Notamacropus eugenii: one gene and its partners. The protein of the gene in region 4 interacts with the protein of the main gene of each other region in a pairwise test. Links are inferred from orthologs where the notes say so. Each region holds a gene or a part of one and is shown on either strand. Other genes may lie near its edges.

What was found.
Region 1: the proteins of SUFU (region 4) and GLIS3 interact in binary tests that used the Homo sapiens proteins (3 or more experiments, as listed by UniProt). The link is inferred for Notamacropus eugenii from reciprocal best matches to the Homo sapiens genes SUFU and GLIS3.
Region 2: the proteins of SUFU (region 4) and RCN3 interact in binary tests that used the Homo sapiens proteins (3 or more experiments, as listed by UniProt). The two-hybrid records come from large-scale screens. The link is inferred for Notamacropus eugenii from reciprocal best matches to the Homo sapiens genes SUFU and RCN3.
Region 3: the proteins of SUFU (region 4) and HDX interact in binary tests that used the Homo sapiens proteins (3 or more experiments, as listed by UniProt). The link is inferred for Notamacropus eugenii from reciprocal best matches to the Homo sapiens genes SUFU and HDX.

The regions. Positions count from the first base shown.
Region 1 is NC_092872.1:40,395,891-40,402,782, reverse strand, and holds the start of GLIS3 (zinc finger protein GLIS3), read right to left. Parts: upstream 3,004-6,892; 5' UTR 2,277-3,003; intron 1-2,276. UniProt on the Homo sapiens protein: Acts both as a repressor and an activator of transcription. Binds to the consensus sequence 5'-GACCACCCAC-3'.
Region 2 is NC_092876.1:12,233,741-12,241,090, forward strand, and holds the start of RCN3 (reticulocalbin-3), read right to left. Parts: upstream 3,013-7,350; 5' UTR 2,573-3,012; exon of another isoform or gene 2,508-2,572; intron 843-2,507; 5' UTR 841-842; coding exon 599-840; intron 1-598. Other genes in the region: FCGRT (IgG receptor FcRn large subunit p51), read right to left, coding at 3,357-3,442, 3,555-3,680, 3,798-4,070, 4,681-4,956, 5,042-5,287, 5,467-5,548. UniProt on the Homo sapiens protein: Probable molecular chaperone assisting protein biosynthesis and transport in the endoplasmic reticulum.
Region 3 is NC_092879.1:79,045,562-79,053,430, forward strand, and holds the start of HDX (highly divergent homeobox), read right to left. Parts: upstream 3,019-7,869; 5' UTR 2,873-3,018; intron 1-2,872.
Region 4 is NC_092872.1:180,690,969-180,698,660, reverse strand, and holds the start of SUFU (suppressor of fused homolog), read right to left. Parts: upstream 3,019-7,692; 5' UTR 2,828-3,018; coding exon 2,628-2,827; intron 1-2,627. Other genes in the region: ACTR1A (alpha-centractin), read left to right, coding at 6,511-6,558. UniProt on the Homo sapiens protein: Negative regulator in the hedgehog/smoothened signaling pathway. Down-regulates GLI1-mediated transactivation of target genes. Down-regulates GLI2-mediated transactivation of target genes. Part of a corepressor complex that acts on DNA-bound GLI1.

The DNA of each region.
Region 1 (6,892 bases), about 140 Mb from region 4:
TGGGCAGAGAAACTGTCCTGCAATTCCAGGATCAGAGCCTGTCGAGAAAAGGGGATGAGGGGTTCAGGGTGCCTAAAAGGAGAAAGGAGAGATGAGGAAAGTCAGTGCTCACTGAGCCTGTGGCAGAAAGGAGAGGCACCCCACCCCCTTAGGATGCCAGGTCTCCCAGGATTGAATCCAGGCCGGGCTCTCAAAGACTATCCCAGGAACTTGAAAGGGGCAAAAGGGAAAAGAAAGGAATGAGCCCCTTTATGCCAACCTCTCATACCCCAATCTCTGGGCTGACTGAAAGTAGCCCGAAGCCCCATGTGCCCAGGGCTGGGTGAATGTGCCCTCTCTGCAAGGGCTCCTCTCCCCACCTTGGCTACCTGGGGAAGGCCAGCATGGGAGGCGGGAGGGGTGTTAAAGAGCAAGGAAAGCCTGGATTGGGGGAGTGGGGGGATGGGGGGAGACCATTCCCTTCCTAGTCCTTCGTCACAGTCACCAAACTAATCTATCCTATCAGAAAGGACAACAAAGCAAAACAAAAAGCGCCCAGGCTTCCTGTTGTGCAACTCCGGACTGAATAAGCCCTTTGCCGGGAGGGCTCCGGTTCGCTCAGCAACCCTTTAATAAAGTCACATTCATGAATGGCTACCCGGACCAGAGCGGCACATAAAGTCCGGGCCTGCTCCCTTTCCCTTTCCCAAATGCCTCCCACCCCAGAGGCGCATACACCCCCTCGCCCCCCGCCCCAGCCCCCAGCCTGGGGCAAGTTGAGCGAGGAACCCCTGTGCCAAGGTGCAGCAAAAGACGGGAACTGCGTAGATGTGGGAGCCCCAGCCTGAGCCAGGCCACTGCACCACCACTCCCACCCCCAACACCCTGGAGATAATACAACCGGAAATGAACTTTCCCAAAGTTTCTCCCTCCAGGTACCTAACTTAATCATCTACACGATGACAAATCCTTCCAAACCAAGGAGACGCGCCCCCAAAGTTTCCAGACAGTATTGTTTCTTCATTCCCTGACCGATTTGTCAGCTAAAGTGAGTAATTTGGAAGTCTACATCACCACAGTGCTGGGGGACGGAGAGGGGGAGAGAACAGGATCCTGAGTGTGCATGTTCATTTGTGTGCGTGCGTGTGTGTGTGTGTGTGTGTGTGTGTTGTGTGTGTGTGTGAGTGTGTGCGTGCGTGCCCAAGAACTCGAACTGCAGACTCATGCTTTCCGGAGAGCAGTTTGGACAGACTTCCTTCAAAAACACACAAGGGTAATTTATGGAGACTGAAGCGGGACAAAGTCCTTTTAGAGTGAAAATGAGACATTTTCAAAACAGTCCTGACATTTTGCTATGCACGATCAAAACGTAAACGTTCGGTGACACATGCAGCGGGCTGTTTGTGTCTGAGTGTGTCTGTGTGCTGGCAACACTCAAGGATACTGGACACAGGTGTGTGTATGGATACCTACGCAGAGAAGCCCTATAGTGGGAATATATTGCTGTAAAAAACCACTCCCAAGTCCAACACTGCTTTCACGTATATCAACAAACACGTGGGTTTAAATAAAGCACCCCTAAGGGGTCTATTTGCTACAACAATGTGTGTACAAAATACTACGTATCTGCTACTGTTATACACGTATATGGGGCAAATAGGCTATGATATAGATCAGAGCTGGACAGGTAGGTAGGTGGGTAGGTAGGTAGAGATTGATAGATAGATAGATAGATAGATAGATAGATAGATAGATAGATAGATAGATAGATAGATAGATAGATCGATCGTCAGTCTATGTCTGAAGAATGAACTTATATCACCCTTTCAATACCTACTTCCCCAAACTTTCTCTTTCACACAAACTTTTCGGTCGGCACAGACTATGCCTTCCAGTCCCTTAACTTGAACTGATCTCTAAGCAACAGCCGGTCCTTTCGGTAAAAAAAGAATCCTCTCCTTTCCAGAGCCTGCTTTAAAGTCTCTTCACTTTCCAGTTTCTTACCGCGGTCCAGGAGCACTCCGTCCCGCCCTGACTCCCACTCTTTGGGCTCTCTTACCCCACTGACAAGAAAAGTATATTCCCTTTCCCGCGTCTTAAAAATAATACTGTTTTTTAAAAAGCTGCTTCCTCATCAAAAAATAGGACTGAAGGACACGACACTTGAAACAGTGCGTCCGCACAGGGTTTCCAGAGAAAACTATTTCTCATACAGGTCCCTGGAAGCTGGAAGGTTCCCCCTCCCCCCCCCACTCACTTTCTTGCCTGCAAGCGAAGTTCCTATGGCATCCACTTACCAGGTAACCAGGATTTCCACAACAAAGCTCAACGTGCATTTTTCCTCTCCCCGGGCTGCCTCTCTCTCTCCTCTCCACCAGAGAGAATGACAGCCCTGCTCGCAAGGGGCTGAGTATCAGGCAGCAACTTTGGCTCCCAGCGCTTCAGCACGCTTGGAGGGTTTGGCCTTTGGAAATGCAAACTTCCATCCGAGCTGAGGAATGGGGCAGCAAAACCCAGCCGGGGTGCTTTTCGCTGGGGCTGCGTGGGCACGTCTAAGAGGAGATGCCCCCTGGGCATCAGTTCATTCTCCCCCTCCCCCAAAAAAATCTAAATTAAAAAATATATGTTAAAGTTAAGTTTCCATTTCACTGTGCCTGGCCTGTTGTGCTCATCCCTGTCCACGGAGGGAAAGTTAGCCAGTCTGGTTGATGATGAGGTTGTGGACTGGCGGGTGATACCCAATGATTGCGGGGGGGGGGGGGGGGGAGGGGGGGAGAGTAGGTTTGTGGCAGGGGGGAAGGGGTGCGAGGCTCCTCTGCTTCCGAGGATGGGGAGGAGTTGGGAGGGGGGAAGCCAGCAGCAGCGGCAGCGGTGTTCTCTACCCTGTGCCTCTTCTCCCAAGGCTGCGTGGACTTGGGGATCGCAAGGACTGGGAAGAGGGAGGGAGAAAGTAAAAGAGAGAGTTAGTTGTGAGGGCCAGCAGCCAGCCGCTTCCTGAGTGCGAGAGCCAGAGCGGGGAGGGGGAGGGAGGAGGAGGAGGAGGAGGAAGGGAGGGAGGGAGCAACAGAGGAATGAAAAGGGGAGGGAGGTGGGAGGGGGGCAAAGGGGCGGGTAGTGCCTGGTCACCCGGTTGGCTAATTCAAAGGCTGAGCTTGTGTCTCCCTCTCTCCGTTCACACACTCACATGCACATAGGGAGACGGGGAAACTAGTCAGAAGAAAGACATCACTTGATGACTGAACCTCATTTTTGTCGTGGTTGGTTGTTTGTTTGTTTTGTTTTCTTGTTTGTTTTACTTTTTTTTTTTTTTTTTTTTTTTTTTGAGATGGAGAAATTTCAGTGGCCTGAAGGGAGGGCCCTGAAGTCGAAGCAGCTTCATGCAGTGAGAAGAGCCCTGGATCTGGAATTTGAATATTTCGGTTCAATTCCAGCCCAGAATGAACGACCAGAATGACCTTGGGCTATAATAACTTGCATTTATTGGGTATTTTAATGTTTACAAAGTGCTTTCTTCTCCATTAAACCTAGGTGCTCAAAGGGAAACAGCTGTGGTACCTGGAAAAGACCAAAAGCTAGGACGCCTGGATTCCAGTTCCAGGCCTCCCAGGAACTAGGCTGGATGACTTGGTGCAACTCAGTTCACCAGCTTGGGCCTCAGTGTCTCTGCCTGGAAAATGAGGGGGCTTCTGGTTGGCGCCAGAAAGTAGAGCTAGGACCAATGGGTCCAAGTGGAAGGGAGCCTCGTAATTGGCTCCATGTGAGAAAAAGCATCCAAACAATTAGAGCTGTCCAAAGAGTAAAATGGACTGCCTCAGGTGGTTCCTCATTGGAGGTCTTTAAGCAGTAGTTAAGTGACCACTTCTTGAGGAAATTGCAAATGAGTTTATTGTTCGGTTTAGGGCTGGACTTGATTCTGAGGTCCTTTCCAACTTTGTAATTATTTGACTATATTATCTCTGAAATTCTTTCCAGTTTTGATCCAATTATCCTTCGAAAAACTACAACAGACAAAAACACTTTAAGAAGGCTTGATTGGCCGAAAGTAAAAAAGAAAGATGGAAACTATCTAAATGACCTGGGATTTTCTAGGAGTGAGAACTCCCTCCACCAAATGGGTCACTGGCATGTCCCTAATTTATTTTCATGAATTTGCCTGAGGCTCAAGGAACTTAAGCCATAACTTGCCTGTGGTGATGGAGCTAAGTTTCAGATGAGAGATTTGAACCCAGAACTTACAGACTTCCAAGTGCAACCCTCTATCCACTGTGTGCTATCTAGAGAGAGACAAATGTGTTTGCGTGTGTGCATGTGTGGTACTAAATATATCACAATGCTTCATAAGTAATAATTCACACAGTGGTCAGCAGTCATGAGATTACAAAGCACACTCATAAATGGATAGGGGAAGTACATACGCCTACAGTCATAGCCTTGGAGAGGGAAGGTACCTGAGAAGCCATCTGCTCTTGCTTCCTCATCATACAGATAAAGAAACTGAGATTAAATGATAAAACCGAAGTCTGAATCCAGGTTCTCTGACTCTCTTTTGTACCATGTTCTGTTGCATAAGAGAAATGTAGTGAAAGTCTTGAAGTTTTCAACTATACTGTACATACATAGTGCATATATGTGCTTTAGTCACATGTCTATATCCTATGCAGCCATTCTCATCACTTTCATTATCTAGAAGGGGGAGGGGAATCTAAACTGGGCGGTAGTCCTCTGTCCCCTACTAGAGGCCACTAAGTGGTGAAGTGGATCAAGAGATAGACCTGGAATAAGGAAAACTCGAATTCAAATCCAGCCTCAGGCATTAACTGTTTGACCCTGGGCCAGTCACTTAACCTATGCTTGTTTCAATTTCCTCATCTGTAAAACTGGGATAATAATGGCACCTAACTCTCAGAATTCTTATAAGGATCAAATGAGATAATATTTCTAAAGTGTTATGTAAAACTTAGTTGTTGTTCTTCGTACTTAAAGAGGACCAAAATGGCATCACCATGCTAGGGTCAAAGTACAGCGTGTCTGACTGTGGTTGATCAGACTAACATAAACTCAGAAGGGTTTACCACAGGTTGGGTACAAATACTCCATACAAGTTTGGAGTAGAGATATCTCTAAATTTGTGCATGTCACATTTCTTTTGAGTTACTGCAATTTGACTTTGTGCAAGGAGCACAGTGTCTTCTTTAATACGGGCAAGGGACATTGGGCAGTCCTGTGCCAGCATCTCCCTTCTCTCAATCATTTCCAACTCTTCAGAGAAATCTTGAGAGTATCCTTGTATCACTTCTTTTGACCTCTTTGTGAACACTTGCCTTGTGTGAGTTCTCCATAAAATAATCTTTTAGGCAAAGGTACATTTGGCATTCAAACAATGTGGCTGGTCCATCAGAGTTGCACTTTCTGCAGTAGAGTTTAATGCTTGCCTTGCAGATCAACTCGAGAAAGGACCTTCATATCCTATATCTTATCTTGCCAGGTGATCTTCAGAATCTTCCTAAGACAATTCAAATGGAATCTGTTCAGTTTCTTGGCATAGAACTGGTAGACAGGCATACAACAATGAGATCAACACAACTGTTCTGTAGACCTGGAGTTTGATAGGCAGCCTAATGCCTCTTCTCTCCCACAATTTCCATTAGAACCTCCCAAATAATGACCTAGCTCTGGTAATGTGTGTGTCAACCTCATCATCCCTGAAAAGTATACTTCCAAAGTAAGTGAACTTATTCACAGCATTCAATATTTCTCCATTTGCTGTAACCAGAGGTTCCATGTATGGATGCTATGGTGTTGGCTGGTGGAGAATCTCTGTTCTCTTGGTCTTAATTATCAAGCCAAAATTAACACAACCACTGTTGCTTTTATACTGTCAAATATTTTAACACACAAATACCTTTTTGGAAGAGTTTTATACATTCTTAAAACTTTATACAGAGTACATACTAGTTGAGGGAAAGTAGTTACGTAGTATACATTTAGTATATGTGAGTATTCAAAAGTTACTGAATAGCAGCAAATATTGGGGGGGAAAAGGCATATTTAAAAGCAACAAGTGTATCTGGAATTTTAAAATGCACTTCAAAATTGGATTTTTCCCTGAAATTCCAATTAGTTTAAAGAGATGATGTGATGCCTAAAGTTCAGTAACCTCAAACAATTATTCTCTAACATTCATCAAACACATAAAAACATGGGACTCCTCCTTTGTCTAATGCAGATGGGTGTTTGGCACATGGAAGGAATAATTGTTACAGTGATAGACATAACAATTCCTACACTGGAATGGCAGTCAGGGGAAACGTTTCAAGTGTATTCAAGTACAACTCTGTGTACCCTTTTTTCATGTTTCACAAGCTCTTTCTTTGTCATTTTTAAATGCTTGTCATACCAACACTGGTGAGGGATTCAGAGGAGTGAAGTCCTGCACCAGCATGCATAGGAAAGCTCTTGATAAATCATTTTGTTTTCATGACAATATTTCTTTCGATGCAGGGTTAATTAAAAGTGCAAATTTATCTCTGTATCAGAGGAACACTATGACCTACAAGTTGTCTCCTTCTTTCCAAAGCCTGTGATCCATTTTATTGACTCCACGAAGAACTAATGGATGGGAGGGTAAAACAAAATTACTTTCATGCATTTTAACTTGCAATTGACCAAAGAGTAAAGATTTCATGCCCACCTCATCCAGGGAATCCTGGAGGAGCATTGGAAAAAAAAAAAAGCTTAAGGGCATCTTTATTTATTTATTTTTGTGATAATACTCTCTTCCTTTAAAGTCCCTTCCAACTCTAAAGCCTTCTCTGACTTGCCATGGGAGGCATTATGGTGCAGTGGAAGAAGTATTAAAGTTGGAGTCACAGGACCTGCATTCAACTCCTGGATTTCATACTTATTACCTATA
Region 2 (7,350 bases), on a different chromosome or scaffold from region 4:
CAAGGGTGGAGGGGGGGGGGTGACAAGGAGGGGGTCAAGCACCCTCAGAGAGAACAGGGACCTGGTAGAATGCGAGCTCCTTGAAGCCAGGGACTGGCCTTTTTGGGTGGCCCGGAAGTGCTTGTTAATTGAATGACCTGACCTTGGTGACCACCTCGCTAAGCCCCACCCCCCAGCCAAGTGGTTATTCAGCAGGGAGGGGGTGACACCCCCATTCTGCCCAGGTAGACTCCACCCTCATTGGTAAGTTTTCCTGACATTGAACCTAAATCATCCTCCCTTTCCTCCAAGGCCCTTCCTCCCTAACTCCGCCCCACACCCCTCCCCTCGGAGGCCAATCCTTTCCACTTGACAACCCTTCCAAATTCTTGAGAACAGATCTCAAAGCCACCCCGCACCCACAACCACTCATTCCTCAGCCTTCTTGGCTGTAGGGTAAACAGCCCATGGTTCTTCCACTGTCCTTATACGGCAGGAGATGCTAACTTCCCCGCCCCCGCCACATCAATCCCATCCAGTAGTAATACACACACACACACACACACACGCGCACACGCACACACACGTGCACATGTGCGCACGTGCGCGCATCTCATACCCGAGCCTTGCTTTGCTCTCTTCTGGGCTAAGCTGGTCAAACTCCCGAGCTGCCTCCCGGCCCAGGAAGGCCTCGTGGTCAAACTGGAAGTCTCCATGGGTATCGTCATGCTTGGCCTCACTCAGTGGGGCCTGTTGGTGCACCCGGCTTGAGAGAGGAACCCCGGTATCTGGGGGGGGCTTGCCCCATGCCTCTTTGCCCAGGTCTAGCCCCAGCAGCAGCAGTGACCACAGCCACGTCATTCCTGAAGGAGAGAGGTCAAGAAGGCCTGAGCACAGAGTCCCAGGACAGACTGGGCGATGATTAGAAAGGAGGAGGTGGACAGGGTCCAGAGATGGCAAATGGGTCAAAGTGGTGGGGAGGGGCAGGGAATTGGCATGAGACAGGAGGTGGTGATACTGAAGTGGGAAAGGGTCAGGGGGTTACTGGGCTGGGCAATGGGAAATGGTACAGAGAGGGTCTAAGAGATGGGGGGGAGACAAAGGCACCAACGGAGGGTGGGGGGGAGGTCACAAAAAGTAGAGGACAGGGGTGGAGGCACCCAGGGTGATGTGGAGGTGGCATGGGAGGTATGCAGGAAAGGGGTGAAGGGCTGAAAAGCTAGTAGGTGTAGCTAGATGAAAACTAGGAGAAATGAGTTAACTTAAGATGGAGGGAGCAGGTGAAAAAAGAGAAAGAAAGGCAAACTTTGGGGTTAGAGATCAGGAGATGGATAAGGGTACGGGGACAGATGACAAGAGACTGGTGTTGGTGGAAGGATGAAGGAAACACAGAAGGAGAAATGGTGGGCAGAAGGGAAAGCCGCACATTGGGGGAGCTGGAAGAGCAAAGGATGCAGTGAGATAGTGATAAGGGAAAGCGAGAAGGGGGCTGCAGTGGGCAGAGGGAAAGGATTGGGCCAGGGTTTAATAGAGAGGGGTTGGGAGGGGGTAGGGTACAGAAAGGGACTGGGTAACCATGGAAGGGGGCAGAGGGGGGTGGAGGATAGGCATACAAGAAAGAACTAGGATATAGAGTGGGGACTATGGGGCACCAAGGAGCTGGAGGACATAGCTCAGGGGTGGCAGATTAGGAAATAGGTTAAGAACTCACAGAGGGGCTAGAAGAGGGGGCAGGGGTACATAGTGGGGGATGGGTCTGAGGGCAAGATAGGGTCTGGGCAATGGGAGTGGCACGGAAAGGAGACTGGGGATGAAGGCATAGGTGAGAGCTGGAGAATGAATTGAGGGGGTGAGGTGGGGCACAGGGAAGGCATGGACAGTAGGTAGTGGCACAAAGAGGAATGGAGATGGCACAGGAGGCATACATTAGCTAAGAGTATTGGGACATATCTAGGGGACTGAGGGGCTGGGGAAAGGGGCACAGAAGTGCTAAGGGATGTGGGACAAAGGAGCATAGGGGAGAGGGGCACAAAATTGCAGGGATTACAAAGAAAGGAATAGGAGCATGTGCTGGGGGATGGGGGTGGCACGGAGTAGAGCTGCTGATTGGAGAACAGAGGAGTTGGAAATTGGGGGTCCAGAAAGAAAGGGAGGTGGGTTGTGGGTCGCAGAGGGGATAGAGGAAGGATTGGGGGCCAGAGGACTGAGGGAAGGGTTGGGGGCAGGAGAGAGGATGGAGGCGTCTTGGGGGCCAGAGAGAGGACGGAGAGAGGGTGGGTTGGGGCACAGAAAAGGACTGGGGGAAGGGTTGGGGGCAGGAGAGAGGATGGAGGGAGGGTTGGGGGGCCAGAGGGAGGATGGAGGGCGTCTTGGGGGACAGAGAGAGGACGGAGAGAGTGTTGGGGGACAGAGGGTGGGTTGGGGCACAGAGGAGGACTGGGGAAAGGGTTGGGGGCCAGAGAGGGGATGGAGGGCGGGTTAGGGATCTAGAAAGGGGCTAGAGGACTAGGGATGCAGAGAGGGGCTGCCTGGAGGACTGGACTGGGGAAGGGTGGGGTTGCAGGGGCCCGCGTTCCACTCCGGGGTTCCTCACCACCCCGTCCCGTCCCGTCCCGTCCCTCGGCGCTAGCTCAGAGGGAGCCCAGCTCCCTGCTCCCTCCTTTCATCCCCCCGCCCGGATCGCAGGCTCCTTGTGGCCCCGCCCTCCAGCCAATCCCGCCGCTCAGGCCCCAGGCCGGGGCGGAGCCTTCCCCTTCTTGGGCGCTCATTGGGCTCACGGCGCCACGTCCGCAGGGTGGGAGCCCAGGGGCGGTATCTGCTGGGGGGAGGGGGGAGGGGGCCTCCATCCCCTCCTCCCGTTGGTTCATAATGCCTGCGGAACATTTAGGAAACTACAGTTCCCAGCAGCCTCGGGGCCCGGGACGCAGCTGGGGCTCCAAACCCGAGGCAGGCGTGCGGGACAGACAGAACTCAGTGGGGAGCCCCGCCCCCGGTGCCGAGCAATCCCTGCTGCAGCTGCAGCCACAGCCACAGGAGCTTGCGCAGCAGCAGCAAGTGAGACGAAGGTTAGACCCCGGGAAGGACTTCCCCTCCCCCCATACGGTGAATCCCCACTCTGACTCCCCTCAAACAGAATTGGAAGAAAAGGACACAGCAGAGATCTGGACCCAACAGCCTCTTGTTTTGTTTGGGAGAGAGGAGTATATCAACATTTCTGCACTGTCAAAGGTGAAATCGAGGAGGGCTGCCTGGAAAGGGCCGAGGATGCGGAGGGGGCGGGAGACAGGACTCTATCAGGGGATCGCACAGCATCCAGAGACAACCCCCTGCAAGGGTGGAGAGGGGGTCCAGCAGCAGCCAGGCAGGACGCCGGGATCTTAGGGGCTGGAGTCCTGGGGAGACCCTGGGGCCGAGAGCAGGGACCCCACGTCGTCTCCTGCACGCCTCCGGAAAATCCAGGGAGCTAAAATGGGCGAGAAAAAGAAAAGGAGGAACCAGGATGAGAGGGCAAGGCTCTGAGGTCCATCTCTCCTCTGTTTCTCCTGGCCCCAGCGGAGTTCCGGACCACGGCTTACCTGGGCGTCCTCCTCTCTTCCTACAGATCACCACACAAGCCACCACAGCCCCCAGGGACACCAGGAAGAGCAGGGAGCCTGCCACCAAGCTGACTCTGATCGGCATGGGCAGTCCGCCAGACGCCTCTGCAGGTGTGGGGAGGTGGGAAAGGATTGATCAGTGGGCGTACAAAGTGCTTGAGAAATGTTGATTGATGAATTGGGACCAAGGATCCAGTGGCCCTAGAAGCCCCCTGCTCTTACCGAAGTTCACAGTGATGGAGCTGGCCAGTGCAGGGTGTTGCACCACGCAGCTATAGAGGGCTTCATCCCCAAAGGGAACCAGCAGAGTGCCCCGGGAATAGAAGGCACCGCCCCCGTTGGGCCATGGTTCCACTCCCTTCGCAGCCACTGGCTGCCCCTTCCAAAGGAAGCTCAGCTCCAGTTCCGGTGGGAAGAAGGAGAAGGCCTGGCAAGTGAGGATGGACTGGGTGGACCCTGACTCGACATGGCCTCCAGCTCGCACCTCTGGGGCCTCTAAGGGAAAATGAGCCCAGATCAATGGCACCCACAAGACCAGCCCCCAAGTCAGTCACCTGGGTGACCTGGGGCAAGTGCCTTCTCCTGTCTGGGTCTCAGTTCCCACATCAGTGGAGGGTTGGAACTAAGGTCTGTACAGGGCGGCTAGATGGCACCAGAGTGCACAGGGTGCCCAGACCTGAAGTCAGTTCAAATCTGGCCTCAGACAATTACTAACTGTGACTACAGGCAAGTCACTTCACCCTGTTGGCCTCAGTTTCCTCATCTGTAAAATGAGCTTCCAGTATCTTTGGCAAGAAAACCCCAAATGGGGTCACGAAGAGTCAGATAAAACTGAAATGAATAACAAAGATCTCTTCCAGCTCTGTGATGCAGCCCCCAGACTCTGAGACCTCCCCCAGATGAGCCTCACCCTCCCTGGTCCACCTCTTCTTTGCCTATGTAAGGGGGACTCCATCCCTGATCCCCTTCTGGTACTGGGCATCAGGATCCCGCTGCCCTCTTTCTCTGTCCATCTCCTTCTTCTCTGGCCTGGGTAGGAGCCAGACCTTGGAGTCCACTGACTTGTGGTGACTTCTGGCAACTCTGATGCCAGCTGCTCACGTACCTTTCCAATGGAAGTTGCCCTGACCCTTCTGCAGGTGACTTTTGAGCTTCTGGGGGCAGGTGGTAAGCAGGAATTCTGCATCCTTCTCAGCCCGCTGGCTCTCATTGGCCCAGCTTTCCTTCACATTCCAGGCCTCCACAGTGTCTCCTGACCAAACTCTGGACACAGGGTCAAAGGTCAAGAGGTCTGCCCCATCCAGGGCATATCGAGCAGTGTGATGAGATGAGTTGTCGGGGTTCAGTTGGCAGCCCACCAGGCCCTGAAAAGTGTGGGCCCCTGGGGGAGGCCCCAGATGAGGATATGAGGGAGGAAGCTCCCCCTTCCAGGAGCCCCCTCCAGCCCAGCATCCATCCAACCTCACCCTGCTTCTTAGAGAGACTCAGGGCTTCCTGCAGCAACCGTTCTTGGGTCTTCAGGTACCAGGTCTCCTTCTCCCAAAACCAGGGTTCCTGAGGCTCCCAGCGCCAGGCCCCCCAGGGCTCTGCATTGCCACCAGAGCTATAGGTCAGGAAGAGCTGGGGACCCAGCCACCCTGAGGCCCAGAACCTGGGAGTCCCCTTAGGGGCCACTGATACGGCAGTGAGCTGGTAGAACAAGGAGGGTGCCTCTGCAGGTCCGAGGTCAGGCGGCCAGAGGTTGGACAGGGACAGCATGGGAGAGAAAAGACACAGGGACAGCCAGGAGAGACAGGAAAGGGGGAAGGGACGCTGTGAGCGCAGGGCTTCCTGTGACCCGCAGCCCTGCCTCCCAACCCTTCCCAGGCTCCAGGCTCCCTCTCTCCCTCACCTGCACTCAGCACCCTCAGCTCTGGGAGAAGCAGCAACAATAGGAAAGGGAGACCCTGGGGGTTAGGAAAGGGCCTACCCATGCTGAGACCTGAAGAGAGAAACTGAGTCACAGACACTCCATGGACCCAGGTGCTGACCCCAATCAGTGCGGCTCATCAGAAACGGGGAGACCTCTACCACCACCCCACACTCCCCACCAGCGATGGCACGTTCACCTCCAAAACTACTGAAGGCCCCACCCCTCATGGGGAGGCCTACACGTGCCTTGGTTCTAACCTCTCCCCCAGCCCTATCCCCTAAAGGAACGCGATGTTCCGTCGGACCGTGCCCTCCCCTTCTCCACTTCCCCCAAGGATCCCAGAGGCCCGGCCACGCCCCCGCGAGAACCAAACTTCCTAGGCCCCCCAGTTCCCCCTCCTGCTCGAGGCACCCTGGCTCCCCGTCCCCTCGGGGCACTCCGATGTCCGCCTCCAGCCCCGGGCTCCCCAGCCCAGCCCGGCCCGCCCCGCTCACGCTGGCCTGGGGCTCCCGTGACTGACCTCGGTCAGTTCCTCTACTGCATCCTGCCTTCCCCCACGCCCAGCCCACCCCGGCTGGAACTTCGGCCTCCCCTCTCTTCCGTTCTACCCCTGCTCCATCTGCGCCGTGCACTCCCCCACCTCCGTTCCGGGAATGTCCCCTGGCCCACTTCCCCTCTAGCAGTGGGTGGAGACAGGACCAAAACTATCCAACCGTGCCCGGGCAACCGCCCTGCCCCTTCCAATGTCCCGTGTGGCGGAGAGGGGCAAGCATCTGCCCAAGGTCATACAGCGAGCCTTGCCAGACGGGCTGTCAGCCCGGACCCTCCCCTGCCCCCGGGCCCGGCCCTCAGTGGCTCTCTGAAGGACAGGGAGCGTGCGTGGTTCTGTCTGTCCTCACGTCCGTCTGTATACCTGTCTGTATTTGGATCTGTATGCTTTTTCCTTGGGTTGGGGAGGGCGGGGAGAGAGCCCCAATAACTAGGGAGAAGAAGGGGCTGGGCTTCCATCGGGATCCGCCCCTTCAGTGGCCCCGGGCGGGTGGGACTGGGGGGGGGGGGTCCGAACTCACAAAAACTTCGGGGTGGGGCCTAGAGGGCTGGCAACTCCAGAGGTAAATAATGAACCCCCAGGGCAGAGGCAGCTGCTGGGATTGCGGAAACACCTGCGAGGAGGAGCCTGGGAGCTCCCAGGATATCCCGCTCCCTCCCGGTTCCGGCCAGGGCTGGGGGCAGGCGAGATTCGGGGGAAGAACTGGCCTCCGCTGGACACAGAAAGGGCCCAGGGCTGGGCACTAAGAGCCCTGCCTTCCCATCAGAGGAGGGCTCCTCCAAGGGGATCGTCCTCGCCTTTTTCTGTAGGTCGGGCCACTGGATCCAGGTGGCTCAGGAGAAGAAGGTGAGGTAGGTGACCTTGCACAGCTCTCCCTCACTCAAATCAGAGTCAACTGCAAGTCATGTCATCATCCTGATGTCACAGTCCTCTTCCAGAAGGAAGGACAAACACAACCACAACAGTAGGTCCAGCGCTGGACCCATTGTCTGGCATGTAGTTGGCGCTTCATAAATGGTTTATCGAATGACCCACTCGTGGGGTCACACAAGTTTAATTTTCATTTCTATATAAGAAGCCCCGCCTTCCATCTCCAGTCTTACTCTCTCCTGAGCTCCAGCCCCACATCACCAATTCCTTTGGACTTTGTGTCTTGGTGTCTGTCCTCTAAGCCACCCAGCAACACTTTGAAGTGTATCCCAAAGCAGAAGAAAATGTAACAGGGAAATAATTAACAAAGGAAAACAACAATACAGTAGAACATAGATAATGTTGATATGTGGCTTTCTAGTCAATAAGCTGCTGCCGACTTC
Region 3 (7,869 bases), on a different chromosome or scaffold from region 4:
GCCAGGACGAATGACATAAATTAGAGAAAGGGGAAGAAATGAATGAATAACAGAGAATGAATTTTCTCTTATTAGGATCAACATATACAGTTTACTTCTGATGGTCTACAACAGTGATTTTTCAAATTTTTCAAATACTGATTTTGAATTCTTCAGAGTTGATTCACTATGTCCCAGAACCCTAAATCTTACTGAGGTATTGGGGCAGGACTAGGAGGTAAGGAAACAGACATAAGTAAAAATTGTCCATGAAGTAGGGAATTGTGGGAGAGCATCCAAAAAGTAGGAAACCTAAAACAAGGGAGACAAATGATGTCATTTTGAAATGTGAAAGAACAGAAATGCTAACATTATTTCTCGTTCCCTCTCCCCCCCAAAAAAGGAGAACTGGAGAAAGAGCAGGCAGCATCACTATCAGGTACGATGGTCTGTGGGGGAAACAGCACATGGTTGGTACCCCTTACATAAGAATATTTCTTGAGTAAGGCTTTTCTTTGACATTCATCTTTGTATGATGACACCTGAATTACCAAGTGACTCTATTGTTAGAGCTGGGCATACTTAGTAGCCTGGGGCCTAAATAAGAAATTGGTGGCAGATTTCCCAAGTAGAGAACTGTTTTGTCTTACTATGGACAGATTGTGTCTCAGACAGATAAAATCTTACTCTAAAAAATCTCTTACTCTAAAAAATCTTATTTGCTTTTCTAGGCAGCCCTCTATTTGGGAAAGAAGGTCTTATGCAGCTACACTGTTTCAATCATTTAGTATTTCTTTAGCACTATACAGGATACAGAATAAAAGACAGGATCGCCAGCCTCAGAGTTTAATTTCCTCTTCAGCAACAGGACTATACATAACACGTGAAAGAATGAGAGAATGATTAGGTCTACATTTAACTAAATGCTCAAGCTCCCTTTCTGGGGGTAGCCTATAAGTGCTCTAGGAGCTCAGAGACCAGAGAGGATTGATGATGGCTGGTGGAAAAGAACACCAGATGTGGGTTGAGAGGATCTGGATTAAAATCTCAGATCATATATATATATGTATATACAGATAGATAGATAGATATACACACATATGTATATATATATATATATATGTTTATAAGGTATGATTTGGGGAAAATTTCTTAACCTCTCTGAGTCTTTGCTCATCCACCTCTAAATCTGTGATCCTATGTTTAGTCAGTCAAGGTTTGAGTTGAGCCTTGAGAGATAGTGAGACACAGAAGGGAAAGTAGTGTGTGTGTGTGTGTGTGTGTGTGTGTGTGTGTTGGGGGGTATTTGAGGAGTCAGAGGATGGGGTAATAACTCAAGTGAAGGGACAGAGGTGAGAATGAGTAGTGTATGTGTTCAGAGGACATTGCCTGAGGAGACAGGCAATGGGGAACAGAGAGAAATAGAAGTGAACAGGTAAGGTGGGGCTCCTGAGGGCAGCGAGGCAGAAGAGTTTAGTTGTAGTGTAATAGGTAATAGACAATAAAGGTTTCTGAGAAGGGAAATATCATCAGGAAAGTGATATCTGAGGAAGATTACTCTGGCAGAAGTATACAGGATGGACTGGGGAAGGGGAAAATGGGGGAGCTAAGAGTTTGTAATTAGTTCGAGATGATGATAGTCTGACCTAGGGTGGTAGCAGTAGAGATATGGAAGGAGAAAAATCCATTAGGATTTGATAACTGCCTTCATATACATATAGAGAAAGGAAAAGAATAACTTGACAGCATGGATTCGCCAGAGTCAAAAGCACAGAATGGACACTCAAGTTCTCCAGCCAATAGCACTTAGTTGCTGTGGGGCACAGAAAGGTAAGTACTCTTCAGTACAACTTATCCTGATGTGATTACATGTACCACAGACCTGAGAGCTTGTTGTTCAAAATTTGTCTCAGGCTCTGAGTAATGCAAGCCCAGCAGATGGGAGGTCACTCCAAATTGGAGGGTGCTTATGTGGCTTTGAGAGAATTAGGGAGACAAGGGAACGGGATCTAAGAGGAGAAACTCAGAAACGGGGTTTCAAGTGGGAAAAAAGGGCATAGCAGGAGGGAGGAAAATGACACGAAGAGGGTCCAATGGCCTCGAGTGGCCCCCAAAGACGAGATTCCAGTTGAAAGTCTGCTCAGCATGAGAGAATGGGGCTATATAACTACAGATGAACCAGCAAGGGGGCTGGCCTTAAGGGCAACTCGAGAATGTTGTCAACGGGAAGCAGACCACTGGAAGAGTTGGTGTTATTACCCCGACCACACAAATCCCATCCCGATCAGGTTCAGTTTTCCACTCAGCTTTCGCTCCAACTTCTCAAATCTCCCCGCTCCTCCTTCTCTTCCAAGCCCCAGGCGAAGGCCAGCCCTAAGCTCAGCGGAGAAGTGCGCTTGCGCACGCCCGCCCGCCCCTCACCGCGCGCCCCACCCTCGCGCAGGTGGGACTGCGCAGGCGCAGCGCCCTCCGCGCGTAAGAGCCGGGCTGTGGGAAAGCTACAGTCCAGTACAATCTAGAAGCGGCAGAATTCACCCCCCTCTTGTGAGAGGAAAAGGCGCCACCTCCTTCTACTCCTCCTCCTCCTCCGGCGAGGCCAGGCCAGGCGAGGCAAGGGGCGAGCCCCGAGCTCGGCAGCTCCGGGGCCCCAGGCCCCGGGCCCTCCGGTCTGTGCCCGGGGCAGCCCCATCCCCAGCTCCGCTCCGCCCCGCCGTCGCCGGCCGGGCCCTGTGGGGAGCGACGCTGGGCTCCCGGGGCCCCGCGCAGCTGCTCCGCCGCCCTGGCTCCGCAGGCCTCGGCCCCTGAGGGCCCCCCACTGGGCGGACCAGTCGCTCAGTGCCCTGCCCTCCCCCGCCCTTTCCCCCCAGCCCACTCCACTAGGTGCAGGGCTTACCTCGCGCGTGATGGGAAAGCGGCCGGAATGCGAGGCTCCCCGGGGCGGGCGAGAGCCGGGCAGGGCGGATTCAGCGAGATTTTTCCTGGGTCTCCACCGCCGCCTCAGACAATGAAATCAGCGTGTCCGATCATCAATTCTCATCATGATCGTGACGTCACGGCAGACAGCGGCCAATGGGAGCCCGAGATCAGCTCCGGACAGTCCCCGGCCTCAGCCCAGAACCCAGGAGAAGGGGGAAGGGGAGATGGCCGCCTGCAGCGGGGGGAGCCTCCCCTGCTCCCAGACCTGACAGTGGCCATAGCTAAGTCTCTTGGTGTCTGCCACTCCCTCTCTGAACGGCACCGATCACCAAGCATCCCTGCCGCTGCAGGAGCTGTAGATAAGCTTGTTGGGCCGGTAACTGTCAGGTCTTCCAACTTGACAATCACCTCCAGGAGCAGCCTAATTCTTCCACGCTGCCAAGAGCACGTGATTATGTGTAGCTGTGGGGTTCTTTATGTTTTTAATACACTTTTAGAGGAAGAGAAATACATTTGGAGTCAGTAAAATCCATAGGCACACATCAAGCCCCACTAAAGACTCCCATCAAAGTGATTTTCTACTTACTGGAACTGCAATTAATTCAGACAAAGTAGAGCTTATTTGCCCAGAACTGATGTTCTTATTCCAGCGAGGAGACCCCAGAACTGGAAGGGACCTTAGAGACCAACTCTAGTCCAAACTCTCCACTTGATAGAGAAGGAAACTGAGACCTGGGCCCAAGGTCACAGAGTAACCCCAAGCTCAAATTTCAAGTCCAGGTCCTTTGCACATCAACTCCCCAAATTTTCTGGTTTATGTGGTTGGTACCCTGTGAGTAGTGGTTTTCTTGTCTGTGAGCATAAGGGAACTAATGTCCCAGTTTGGGATTCCAAGGCCCTAAGTCCAAGTCTGCCTTCTTACAGATGTGAGAAGAAGCAGAGTAAAACTGAACCAGTAGGGTTCCAACAGCATTACTGGAAAAACAATCTGTAGGCACTTATTGAAGTGTTCAGTCCTACACTGTGCTAAATATTGTAGACAGAAGAAAAGGAGATGTGATCCAGAAAAAGAGGCCCTTACCCTCAAGAGGCTTACAGTATTGTTGGGGCAAAGATAACAAGAATAACACATTGAAACAGAAAAATGAGACATTAAATATTTGAGCTTCAGTAAAATCTTCTTATGCTGCATCACTGCATGAAGGTAGTTCTGATTTTTTGAAAGCCATACCAGCAGCCTGTAAACCTTAACAGATCTCCTTGATTCTGTGGAACTAGAAAAATTTTTGAGTACAGATCCAGGAAGAGACTGTATGTCTGTCTTTTGAAGACCAGGCTAGCTAAGGACAGAGAAGCTTATTAACAACTTGATAAGTTTTCAGACCAAGCAACCCTCAAAAAGACTGACTAATGTCAGTCATGGACTGACTAATGGACCAGTCACACAGATGAAAGAAATCACAGGTACTGAAATGATGAATTGTGTTTTAAGTCATAAGTTCCAGATAAACTATACCAAAACGGATCAGTGTAGTTGAGGGAGGCTTCATGAACAATGTGGGCCTTGAGATAGGCTTGAATGAAGGACAAGTGAAGATAAAAATGTGGAATGAGGAAGGTATGGTGGCTATGGTGATATCACCATTATTAGAGCAAAAGCCCTATGGTTTAATACAAATAACAATGAACAATACAAGACAGTATATAATTAAGTGAGGGGAAGGGCATGTAAGGTATAGTAGATAAAAACATGTATTATGTGGTATGTGTATGCATACATTCATACATATTATATACACATACGTATACATACACACACAAATATATCTCAAGTGCTCTACAGTGTTGCCACACAGGACAGCACTAGAACCAATGGGTGGATGCTAGGGGTGGGGAGCAGGTTGACAGGAAACAGATTTCAACTCAAGGTGATATAGTCCCTTATCACTGGAATTTTAGAAGATAGATGTCTTTATATCATAGTATCCTTGAATTATGTGGGAGATGGGACTGGATTACCTCTGAAGTTGATTGTAACTTGGAAATAATTTGGGTCTGGTACTTAAGGAAGATAGGGAAAACTCCATGGGGAAGGAATGTGGAGTCTTGGTGAGCTTGGTCTTGAAGGAAACATAGAATGTTGAGGGGTGGTAAGGGGTGGAAGAAATTCTAGGTGGGAATAACATGGATAAAGGAGATAATGTTGTCTAGTATGATATTCAGCACATGAACCTGATAATGGAATTTATTGCCGAATTGTTTAGTCCAGCCCAGTCTTGCATATTCCTCTCATCCTCCTCTCCCACACAAAAGAAAACAAAACAGGACATATTGAGGTGTAAAGCTTTAATTTCGCCAAATAATACTTTTTCCCCACTGATTGTGAACTGTTCTAGAATTTACTGACATCCAGGGCAACTGTTGATAAGTGAGATTATCAGGACACATTTTATAATTGTCAATAGAATGCTGAGAATATATACTGCTAGGTTTTAAAAATGAACTTCGAGGCTATTTATTTACCATTTGTGGATAATTGAGGCCTTTATTTCCTCTCCTTCCTGCTGCCCACCCTTCAATCATTGCTCTGCTTATTGACATCTCCAGCAGAGGGAGTGCAGGAGCATGGAGAGAAATTGAAAACAAGCCTATTTTCTTTATTTCTCTGCCCATTCAATTTTTAAATGTTGTAGGAAAGGACGTTGAAACAGATTAAGAGTAGGAGTTGTCCATGGATTTAAATTCTCCACGATTATTTTGTCCCATGTTACTTCAGATAGCAACAGTGACAAGGATGTGCCCTTGGGAAGGTTGCTCTTTTCTTAGGGAAACGATTGTAAGGTAAGGTGTCCAAGGATATCCTTGCTGTGAAAAAGCTCTTGGAGTCATCAGCATTTTCTCTTTGTAATCAATCCCTCATGGACTGTAGAGAACCAATCTTTGGTACCTCCAACAATCAGGAAGTTTTTGTTTTTGCAATTTGCTTATAGGTGAACCTCATTTTACAGAACAGATAGGTTCCTGAAAGCTTCCCATTAAGCAAATTCCTATGAAGTGACTCTACCCTGCTCCATTATGATACTGGAGGTATATTTCCACATATCGTGCTACAATGCAAGGGAAGACTGGAAACCAGTCTGAACATCAACTGAATACCTCAAGTGAGATTTGTAAGTAACTGGTTTCTATTCTCCTTGACCTGTACTTAATGTCAGCCCTTGGAATTGGTGGAAGACAAAGTTTCAATGCACCACTTTCCTGCTTTCCCACTAATGGCAGGCTTATGAAGGAAGGAAAAGAGAACAGAACATGAGAAGACTACATCTTAATACTGCAAACTCTAGATTTTTCCAAAGATTTTTTTCCCCCTTCTTTCATCAATGATAGAACAGAAAGGAAAAAATGGGAGAGAGGAACATCAGCTCTTCTTACTGCAGGTGATATATAATGTACAAAAACCCTAGAGAACCCACATATATACATATATACACATATGTATATATGTATGATATAGTGTATATATGTATGTATAGCATATTATATGTGTGTGTTTTCACATACACATTATATATATAGTGTGTATATGTGTGTATAATGTATATGTGAGTATATTCAGGAAAAATTCCATTAATTCGTTCTTCTTTGAGCTTGTATTGAATTCTTTCACTTCATTCACTAGACTATTTCAGAATGTTTGAGAGGATCATAGGATAGAATGGAGAATGTCAGACATTGCAGAATTGCAGGATCATAGAACATAGTATTCGAGCTGGAAAGGGTCTTAAACAAAGAACATAAGATCTTGAAGGGATTTTAGAACCTTAGACTTATCTAATCTAACTCCACCCCCTCCACATTTTACAGATAAGAGACTGAGACCCTTAGAGAAGTGACTCACCCAGGATCATTTAGTGGCAGAACTGGAGTCTTCCAAGTTCAAATCCAATGGTCTTTCCCCTACATGATGATGCCTTTCCACTACTCATATCCTTTCTCACTGTTGCACCCTTTTCTCCATGTATACTATCAAGAGCTAGGAATATGAGTTTCTTTAGTCCTATTGAAAAACCAAGGCAAACAGATTCTCAGCTTTAGTAAACAAAATGCTTTTTGAAGAGGTAAACAAAATAAGTCTTAGGCCAGTCATGTAGTTTTAGGAGAGGTTGATAGAAGGGAGGTTTTATAAAATCATTATTTGGGGTTTGGGGAAAATGAGGGGAAAGAATAAGTGTGGATGAATCATCCAGTGGGGTTGTCAGCCTCAAATGAAAAGAAGTGTCTGTATCTCTAGACATAGTGCCTATGTTCCAGGAAGGAATGTAGTCAGTTTAGGTAACAGAGAAGCCAAGCTCATTTTTCTTACTTAGAACATGTTTTTGATAGGTGAGGAAAGTGAAATACAAAGAGGCTAAGTGACTTGTCTAAGGTCAATGGATCAGTAATTTAGTAAATGGCACCATTATGGTCAGCTAGAGTTAATGCACCTCGGAATGTGCCCAGCAGCTTACAATCAGTTCAATGTCAGCTCTGGGAGAATGGGCAGCAGGAGGTGAGTAGTGTGGAAACTGGATGAGAAAGAATTGGACTGGGAGCACAGGATTTATTTGCTCAGGACAGGGAGGGGGAGTAAGCACAGGAGTGACCTGGACCCACAGGAACTGGCCTGGAATCTGGCAGAAAAGGTGGAACCAAAGGATCTAGAACCAGGTAAGTAGTTAATAGTTTGAACACACACAGTCAGATAACAGTGTCAAAAATACATGTAGCCAGGCAAGGCATGAAAAGAGCAGGGAAGTGTTGTAAAGGGCAAAACGGAAGAGGCAATAGGTCCAGAATCTTGCTGTCAAGGGTTGAGAAATGTCCAAAAGCTTACCCTAGGGAAGCAGGCAGAAAACAAGTATATATACCACAAGGCAGACCAAAACAGGGTTCAGAATCAAAGCAGATAGAAGAGAACCATCCAAAGGTTGTATC
Region 4 (7,692 bases):
ACTAAAGTACGAAGTTTCATGTTTCCCATGAAGTCCTTTAATCACATCAATCACAATGCATTAATATATAAAAGCATAGTTTAAATTTTTAATTAAGTTACCAGAGACCTGATATGAGCCTCAGGCCTCTTTAAAAGAAACTCAGCATAGATACCTATAAAAAAGTTTGTTAGTCAATAAGCATTTATTAAGTGCCTACTATATGCCAAGCACATGATAAATATTTGAGGATACAAAGACGGGCAAAAAACTGTCCCTGCTATCAAGCAACTCACATTCTAATGGAGGAAAAAACATGCAGAGAAATAAGCACAAGCCAGCTATAGCCAGGATAAACTGGAGAGAGTACCAAAGGGAAGTCATGCATTAGTAACTAAGGAGGACTGGTAAAGGCTTCTTGCAGAAGGTGGGACTTTAGCTGAGATCTGAGGGAATTCAGAATACAAAATGAGGAGAGAGAGTATTCCAGTAAAAATGCCCAATGTCAGGAGATGAAATGTCTTGTTTGAGGAACAGCAAAAGGATCTTTTCAGAGAAGAGTAAGGTGTTAGATTTGAAGTCAGATGGCCTGGGTTCAAATTCTGCCTAATATTTCCTAGCTAGGTGACCTTAGGCAAATCACCTAATTTCTCTCATCCTCAATTTGTTCCCCTGTAAAACAGAAGTTATGATATTTTCACTAACTACCCTCACAGGGTTGTTGCAAAGAAAATATAAGCCAGAAATAGCTATAGAAATATGAATCACTGTAATATTATTTAAAGGTACTTTTATACTTCAGCTAAAGAACAAGTTGTAAGCCCTAAAGAGATGAGAACAATGCCTTAACAACCAGGGAAAAAACTTCCCTTTCCAAAAGAACAAGTGGCCAGGTCTCATTATCTACTGCTTAGCCAACTTTTGAGGCTGCCTGGCTGTAGACCACTTGCTCTAACATGGAAGTCCACCAGCCACTGACCTGCACAATGGTGTTTTAAAGGGAAATGCTAGGGTATTTGGTGAGGAGAAGTGCTCAATCCCAAAGGGAAAATTGAAGACAAATGATTCTGAAATGAAACTCACTTTACCTAACTTCCCCTTTTTCCAGGCAACTGATTCCAGGGCCACAAGGCCAGCAGCTGTCCCAAGAGGTCAGTTTCCAGTGATCTGCCCCTTCTTCCTGTCCCAAGACTCCATGGACATGAACTGAGTGAGGGTCTGCCTTAAAGGGACAGTTATAAGCTATAAAATAATTCTTATGAAACAAATCTTTGTACCAATACAATATGTTTTCTAGCTAACACAACAGTCTCCTTGCCAGAATCTATTGGTAGTTACCAGTTGGCTTAACATAAGAATCATAGAATGAGAGTCAGAAGGCATTTTAGGGGCCATTCAATCTAACTCTCACCTGACTAGAATCCCCTCTATAATATTCTCTTGAAGACCTTAAGCCAGCAGAATTTCCTCTCACTTCTGTATAGGCTTAATTGTTAGAAAGTTTTTCCTTAAATAAAGCATGAATCCACTTCTACTCTTCGACCCCTCAGTGCTCCTAATATTTGTGGCCTTTAGAGCTATGTGACAGCCCTTCAAACATTCTACTCCACTGTTCTCTTATGGCCAAACACCCCCAATGCTTTAGGGCAATCAAAAATCATTTTTTAAAAAATCAAAGAATTTGGAGCTGGAAGAGATTTTGGAGTTCATCTAGAAGACCTTGCAAAAGAGCAAACTTTGGCCCAGGGAGCTTGAGTGATCTGTCAGTGAAAAGAGAACGAGCCAAGTGTCAGATAGAGCTAAAAACCCAGGTCTCTCAGTACAGAATTCTTTTCAAGTCCTCCTGAGCGAGATAACCCAAGCTGCGCCTGAAAAGATCATGCACGAACCTTTTCCTAACCTTCAGCCCTTTTAAATTCATGTGAATTCCTCGTCCCCTATGTTTGTCCCTGGTCTCAATCTGTTTTCCTCCTCTAGGTCAAAAGAAATGAAGACTGTAAAGGCAAAAGAGGCCGTCAAAGGAACGACTTTTCAGAGAAAATTTCCAAAACTTAAAGGGGAGGGGAGTTTAAGAATCAAAAGACTTCAAACGCAAAACCTGTCCACTACTAACAGGTCCTTCAGCTCACCCTGGCTCCCCTTCTCTAACCTCCACTCCCAGCCGGGCATAGCCCTTCTCCTTTCCCCCTCCCTTCCCCCCATCTCTAAGAGGGACTCCTTCCAAGCACTCGCAAACAGGCAAACTTTCCCCCGAGCCAGGCAGCCACCCCCTCTCAACTCCAGCCTCCAGCTTGGGTCCGACAATAACGTCCTGTCCTTCCCCAACCTGGCTCCCCCTCTCGCCTCCCCGCCAGGGTCTGCGAGCTCCCCACGGCCCGCCTCCGGCTCCAAAGACCCCTTTTCTTCCACAGCCCCGCAGCCCCAGGCACCCCCCCCTCCCCAAATTTCCATGAGCTCTTTGGTCCTCGAGCCCGGTTAACCCCTTTGTCTCCGCGGTCCTCGGAGGCTCCAAAGTTAACCCTTTCCCTCCCGAGCCCCGCGTCGCCTCGCTGGCCCCTCCCCCCCGCCCTTCGGCTTAACCCTTCCACGCCCGGCCGCGCTGCCCCCGCCCCCCTCGGCTAACCCTCCGCTCCGCCCCCCGGGCTCACCAGTACTTCACGATGGCGGTGACCTGCAGCGGGTTGGGCTGCTCGGGGTACAGGCGGCGGCACTCGCCGTAGATGGCGTGTAGCCCCGGGGGAAAGAGTGAGGCGAAGGCCGGGGGCGCGGCGGGGCCGGGGGCCGGAGCCGGGGCTGGGGCCGGGGGCGCGGCGGGGCCGGGGGCGCCGCTAGGCCGCAGCTCAGCCATCGGGGCGGCGGGGGCCGGGGCCGGGGCGGGGGGCGGAGGCTGGCACTGACGGACACACTGGCGGGACGGCAAGCAGAGTTCGTGGGTGCGACGCCCTGAGGGCAGCAGCGAGGTCCGGACTCCGCGCCTGCGCACGGCACCCCCGTCCACCCAGGCCGCCGCCGCTGCCGAGTCTGCCAGTGGGGCGCCGCGGGGCCGCCGGGCGCTCTTTGGGGCGGGGCTCCAGCGCCCGCTCTCCTGGAGATTATTGGTCGTCATCTATATCAGTCACAGGCTGGAGGGCGTGGCCTGACAATAGGCCCGCCCCCACCGTCCAGCGGCCGGGGAGGGTGGAGGGGAGAAAGTGCTGGGCTAGCCCTGGCCATCCGGAGGTGTTACTTGAGTGCGTGCGGGGCTCTGGGCATCCCTGTGAGACGAGCGACAGGACCGCGGTTCTGTTCCTTCCCCCTTGGTGCCGAGAAGGTTCTGCCTCAGCGGACGGGGTCATTCATTCATTCGTCTGCGCGGTACTGACTTTTTTAAAGACGGTTGAGACTTGGTTTCCGTACCTACCCCACCGACGTCTGTGGACAAGATCCAGGGGATGTAGGTTACCTGCCAGCTGCCACTTTCCTGTGTTCTTTTCCGTGGGTTGGGTGGAAGACTTTAAACTCCGCACAGATACATCATGAAAGCCAAAGGCAGCGCGGTGGACTAGAACGAGCGCTGGTGTCAAAGACCCTGGCACGCTCCTCACCCTGGGCAAGGCGCTTGACTTTTAGCTGCTCCCAGGGCGCTCTCAGAAATCCTTCAGTTACAGTAGCATTCCTTATCTGCATGGCTGAGACAGTGTCCATAACTGCGGCTCCTCTCCACAGATAGTCAGAGATAGGAACCAAAGAATAATAATAAGACCTGCTTTGGGAGAAGTAAAGCCCCCCTCTAAATAGTTATCCACAAGTACTGTGTGCAGATAGGAATTTAATAATTTTTTTTTATTATGGTAACATTCCCTTCTGTTATTTCTCTTCTGCATTGAAAAGTTACTGAGGAATCCCCGCTGGCCCCCATAATCGTTGCCCTCTGTATGTGGGGAGAGTCTTAAAAGTTTCTAAGATATCAGCTTTACAGATTTTTTAAAAATCACAATAACCTTATAGGCACGCTATTGTTTACTCAAGTAATCTTGAATGTAAAATGAGACAGCCATAGGCATTAATAGAAAGGAGGGGTTTCCAAAGGGCAAGTATGATTAACTGAAAAACACCAATAATTGAGAATGAGTATCCTAATAGTAATTCACATTTGTATAATGCTTTAAAGGGAGGTAAGTAGCAAGCATTTGTTAGGTACCTCTTGTTAAGGGCTTTATAAATATTATTGAATTTGTTAAGACTTACAAAACACTCTCCCTATAACAACCTTGTGAGGCAGATAGAACAAGTATCATACTCATTTTATAGACATGGAAACTCAGTAAGTTTCAGATAGGGTAAATGACTTTTCCACAGCTGCATGGCTTGGTAACTTGCAAAGCCAAGAACAGTCTGCATCTCTGTTGCTTAACCTGTCCTTGTTTCCATTTTCACTTAAGGATATAATTCTGACTATCAAAAGGAATGAAATGATGCAAGAAACTCTGGGTGCCTTGAAGGAAAGTTCATTGGCATTTGATTGGACATTTATTAAACACCTATACTCAAAACTATGCTCAGCACTGGGGACATAAAAACCAAAAAAGTCATAGTCACCATCCTCAAAAAGCATACATTTTACTGGAGAGGATACAGTATGTACACAAGTAATTCTAATTTGTGGTACACTGAAGAAGGACAGTAAGCATATCAACAACCGGGGAAAATCAGAAAAGGCTTCAAGAAGGAGGCAGAGGCTGAACTGACCTTGAAGGACAAGGACAATAAGGACTGAGAAAAGGGATGAAAAGAAAATGCATACCACTGATGGGGTACATGGAGGTAGAAGACAAGGGATCACCTTTAGAAATATTTAGAACTTAGTTTGTGAAGTTAGAGTCTGAAATGAGAGCTTACAATAGGGAAGGCCTTAAATGTAACCTGGAGTTTGTATTTTATCTTTGAAGCCATATACAGCCAGATAAGATTTTAGAGCAGAGAAGGGGCATGATCAGACCTGAAACTAGAACCAAAAATTCTTGTGGAAAGAACTTCAGATATCATTTAGTTCAATTTATTCATTGTACATATGAATCTGAGACCTGGAGAGGTTAAATAATTTGTTCCAAGAAAGTGAGGCAGAAATGCTTTTACTAGTGCTGGCTATTCAATAACAGCTGTGTGATTCTGGGAAAATAATTGAACCTCTCTTTTACCATCTGTAAAATGAAGGATTTTAACTAGGTATTCCAGTGCTCTTCTAATTCTAAAAGGCCTATCAAAAATTATCACAAATGACAACAACCTATATAGATGGACTAAACAAAGTATAACTAGAAGAGGTCTGTCCTGATGCAACACAGGACTATGGATGCTGAGGGACTGGTTCTCAAGATACCTTAAAAAAGGGAGAGGATGCCAGAGGGAGGAGAGGGAAAAAATGGGCATTTTTTACTACTGAAAGTAATTATTTTAAAAAATCAGTAACTGAAAACCCATATACTTACAGAAATCTGTGAGAATTACAAACACATACCATATCCTTGATGAAAGGTATGAGAAAGAGCAGTCAAGTTTTCAAAAATTATGTTTTATAACAGACCACATCTTTATAGTCACACAATTAACTGAAAGGTACAGAGAATACAAGCTCCCACCGCGCTTGTGTTTGTCGAATATTTAAAAAAAAAAATTTGGTTTTCTAGAGCCAAACAGATCTTCGACAAAGCACAGCTCCATTTAGAAAAGTCAAACAAGATTCCTTGTATCCTTGTATCCTAATACACCTGTAGAGATTACCTCTGATGATGACTATCAGTGGACACGCTGGATTACCAAAGCTGGTCGGCATTGTCAGGAAGGATGTCCACAAAGTCTAAACGTAAGGTTTTAAAAGACGCTCGGGTTTGCAGATGACATGGTGCGAACTGTAGTACTACTACACCCCACCCCTAACCCCCACACGTTGCAAAACAAAAGATAGAGATATCAAACCGTGTAAAAATCGGAAAGGAAATGGACCCTACGAGTATCAAGAATGAAAGAAAAGACGTATAAAGCAAGAATGAAAAATAAGTTATTCCACCGTAGTGAAAAGTCCCTGGTATGTAGCGTATTTATTTATGAGAGGCCACAGACAAGTATCCAAGTACTTAGGCACACAGTCCCGCGAGACTACATGTCCCAGCATACATTTCGAACCCGCCTCATCAAAGACGGAATGGACTACAGATCCCATCATGCAACAACGGCAAACAATTCATGTCCCTTTCACGCTTCTCCAAGTAAACTACAAAGCCCAAAGAGCTGTGCGAAGGAAAGTCTAATACCCATCATGCAAAGCTTCGCTGGATTTTGAAAGAGTCTGAGAGATGTTTTCCCAGTAGGAGGGGTACCGCATAGTATATTGGGGACTGTAGTCTTCCGGAGGGTGAAGAGCAGCCCCTCCCGACTTCCTTGTCCCGGGGACAAGATTGCGCATGCGTAGCGGTGGTAGCAGCAGCAGCAGCAGCAGCAGCAACAGCGGACCCGGCTGGCAGTTTCTTCCTCCGGAGGAGAGACCCCTCTGCCATGGAGTCCTACGATATTATCGCCAACCAGCCTGTCGTGATCGACAACGTGAGTCTGGGTTTCCTCTTCCCCGAGCAGGGCCCGGCTATCTTAGTCCGAGGGTCCCCCGCCCTGGCCGCTGACTCTTTGTCACCGGCTCGGCCTGTCAGGAGGCTTTGGCGGTCCCCTTCTCCTTGAGAGAAGCAGTCCCTGGCCGGTCCATAGGCCAGCATCGCTAGGGTGGAGGTCGGAGGAGAGAAACACCCCATCTCTAGCCCCCCGGGTCATCGGGCCCTTGGCCTGAGGGGCCTCAACCGCTCTGTCGGCGCCCAGGGCCCAGCCCCTTCTCCAGTTCTGGTGACTCTATTGGTTCGGGTAGCTGTCCATCTCAACTAGTTAGTTCCGCCCCCTGGCTAGCCGGATGGGGCAGCGCTCTGAAGGGATTGGCTAGTTCCCCCGTCCATCCGATGGAATGCCGCAGGGTTTCCTCTTTCCGTGGGGCGGGGCGGGGCAGAAGGGAGTGTCAAGGATTGGCTCCCAGGACTCCTGTTGGTGAGACCAGTGGGACAGGGTTCCGCCCATGGGTGGAGAAGGGCCCGATTTTGTTCAGTCCTGGGCCTGGGCGGGGTGGGGACGTGGGAAGGCCGGACCCAGCCCCTGGGTGGGGTCGGATGGAGCTCCCGGGGAGTCTTGGTGGCTGTGAGCGAGTTTCCTTGGGCTCTGTTGTTTTTGTGGTCACTAATTATAATGCTGGTGTTACTGTATCAAGGGGTCAGAACACTCCTTCCTCCTGTGGAAAACCCAAACGGATCTTTAGTTTTGGGGAAGATCAAACTGTAGCCTTCCAGATGTACTTCTGGGTGTAGTGGATATATTCCCTGTGTGGAACCAGCGGCCAAAGATGTGTGGTGATCCCTGGGGTTCGTGGAAGCTCGTTACCTCATTAACCCTTTGATCGTGACCTTGGGTCTGGGTGACCCAAGGAAGTTTGTGTCATCCAGCTTTACTGTTCCCGTAGATCTGACTTAAAGGAGGGGATAATGGTAAGAAAGTGATAAGGCAGCCCAAGACCCCAGAGGGCCAAAAGCAAAAGAAGATTGCCTTCACACTGTAATTGCCCTAGTAGGGTTATCTCTCATTTTTGGATTTGGATTCTTGTGTCTGCTGGTCTCCTCCAAAAGTAACCGGTATATCTTCATCTTC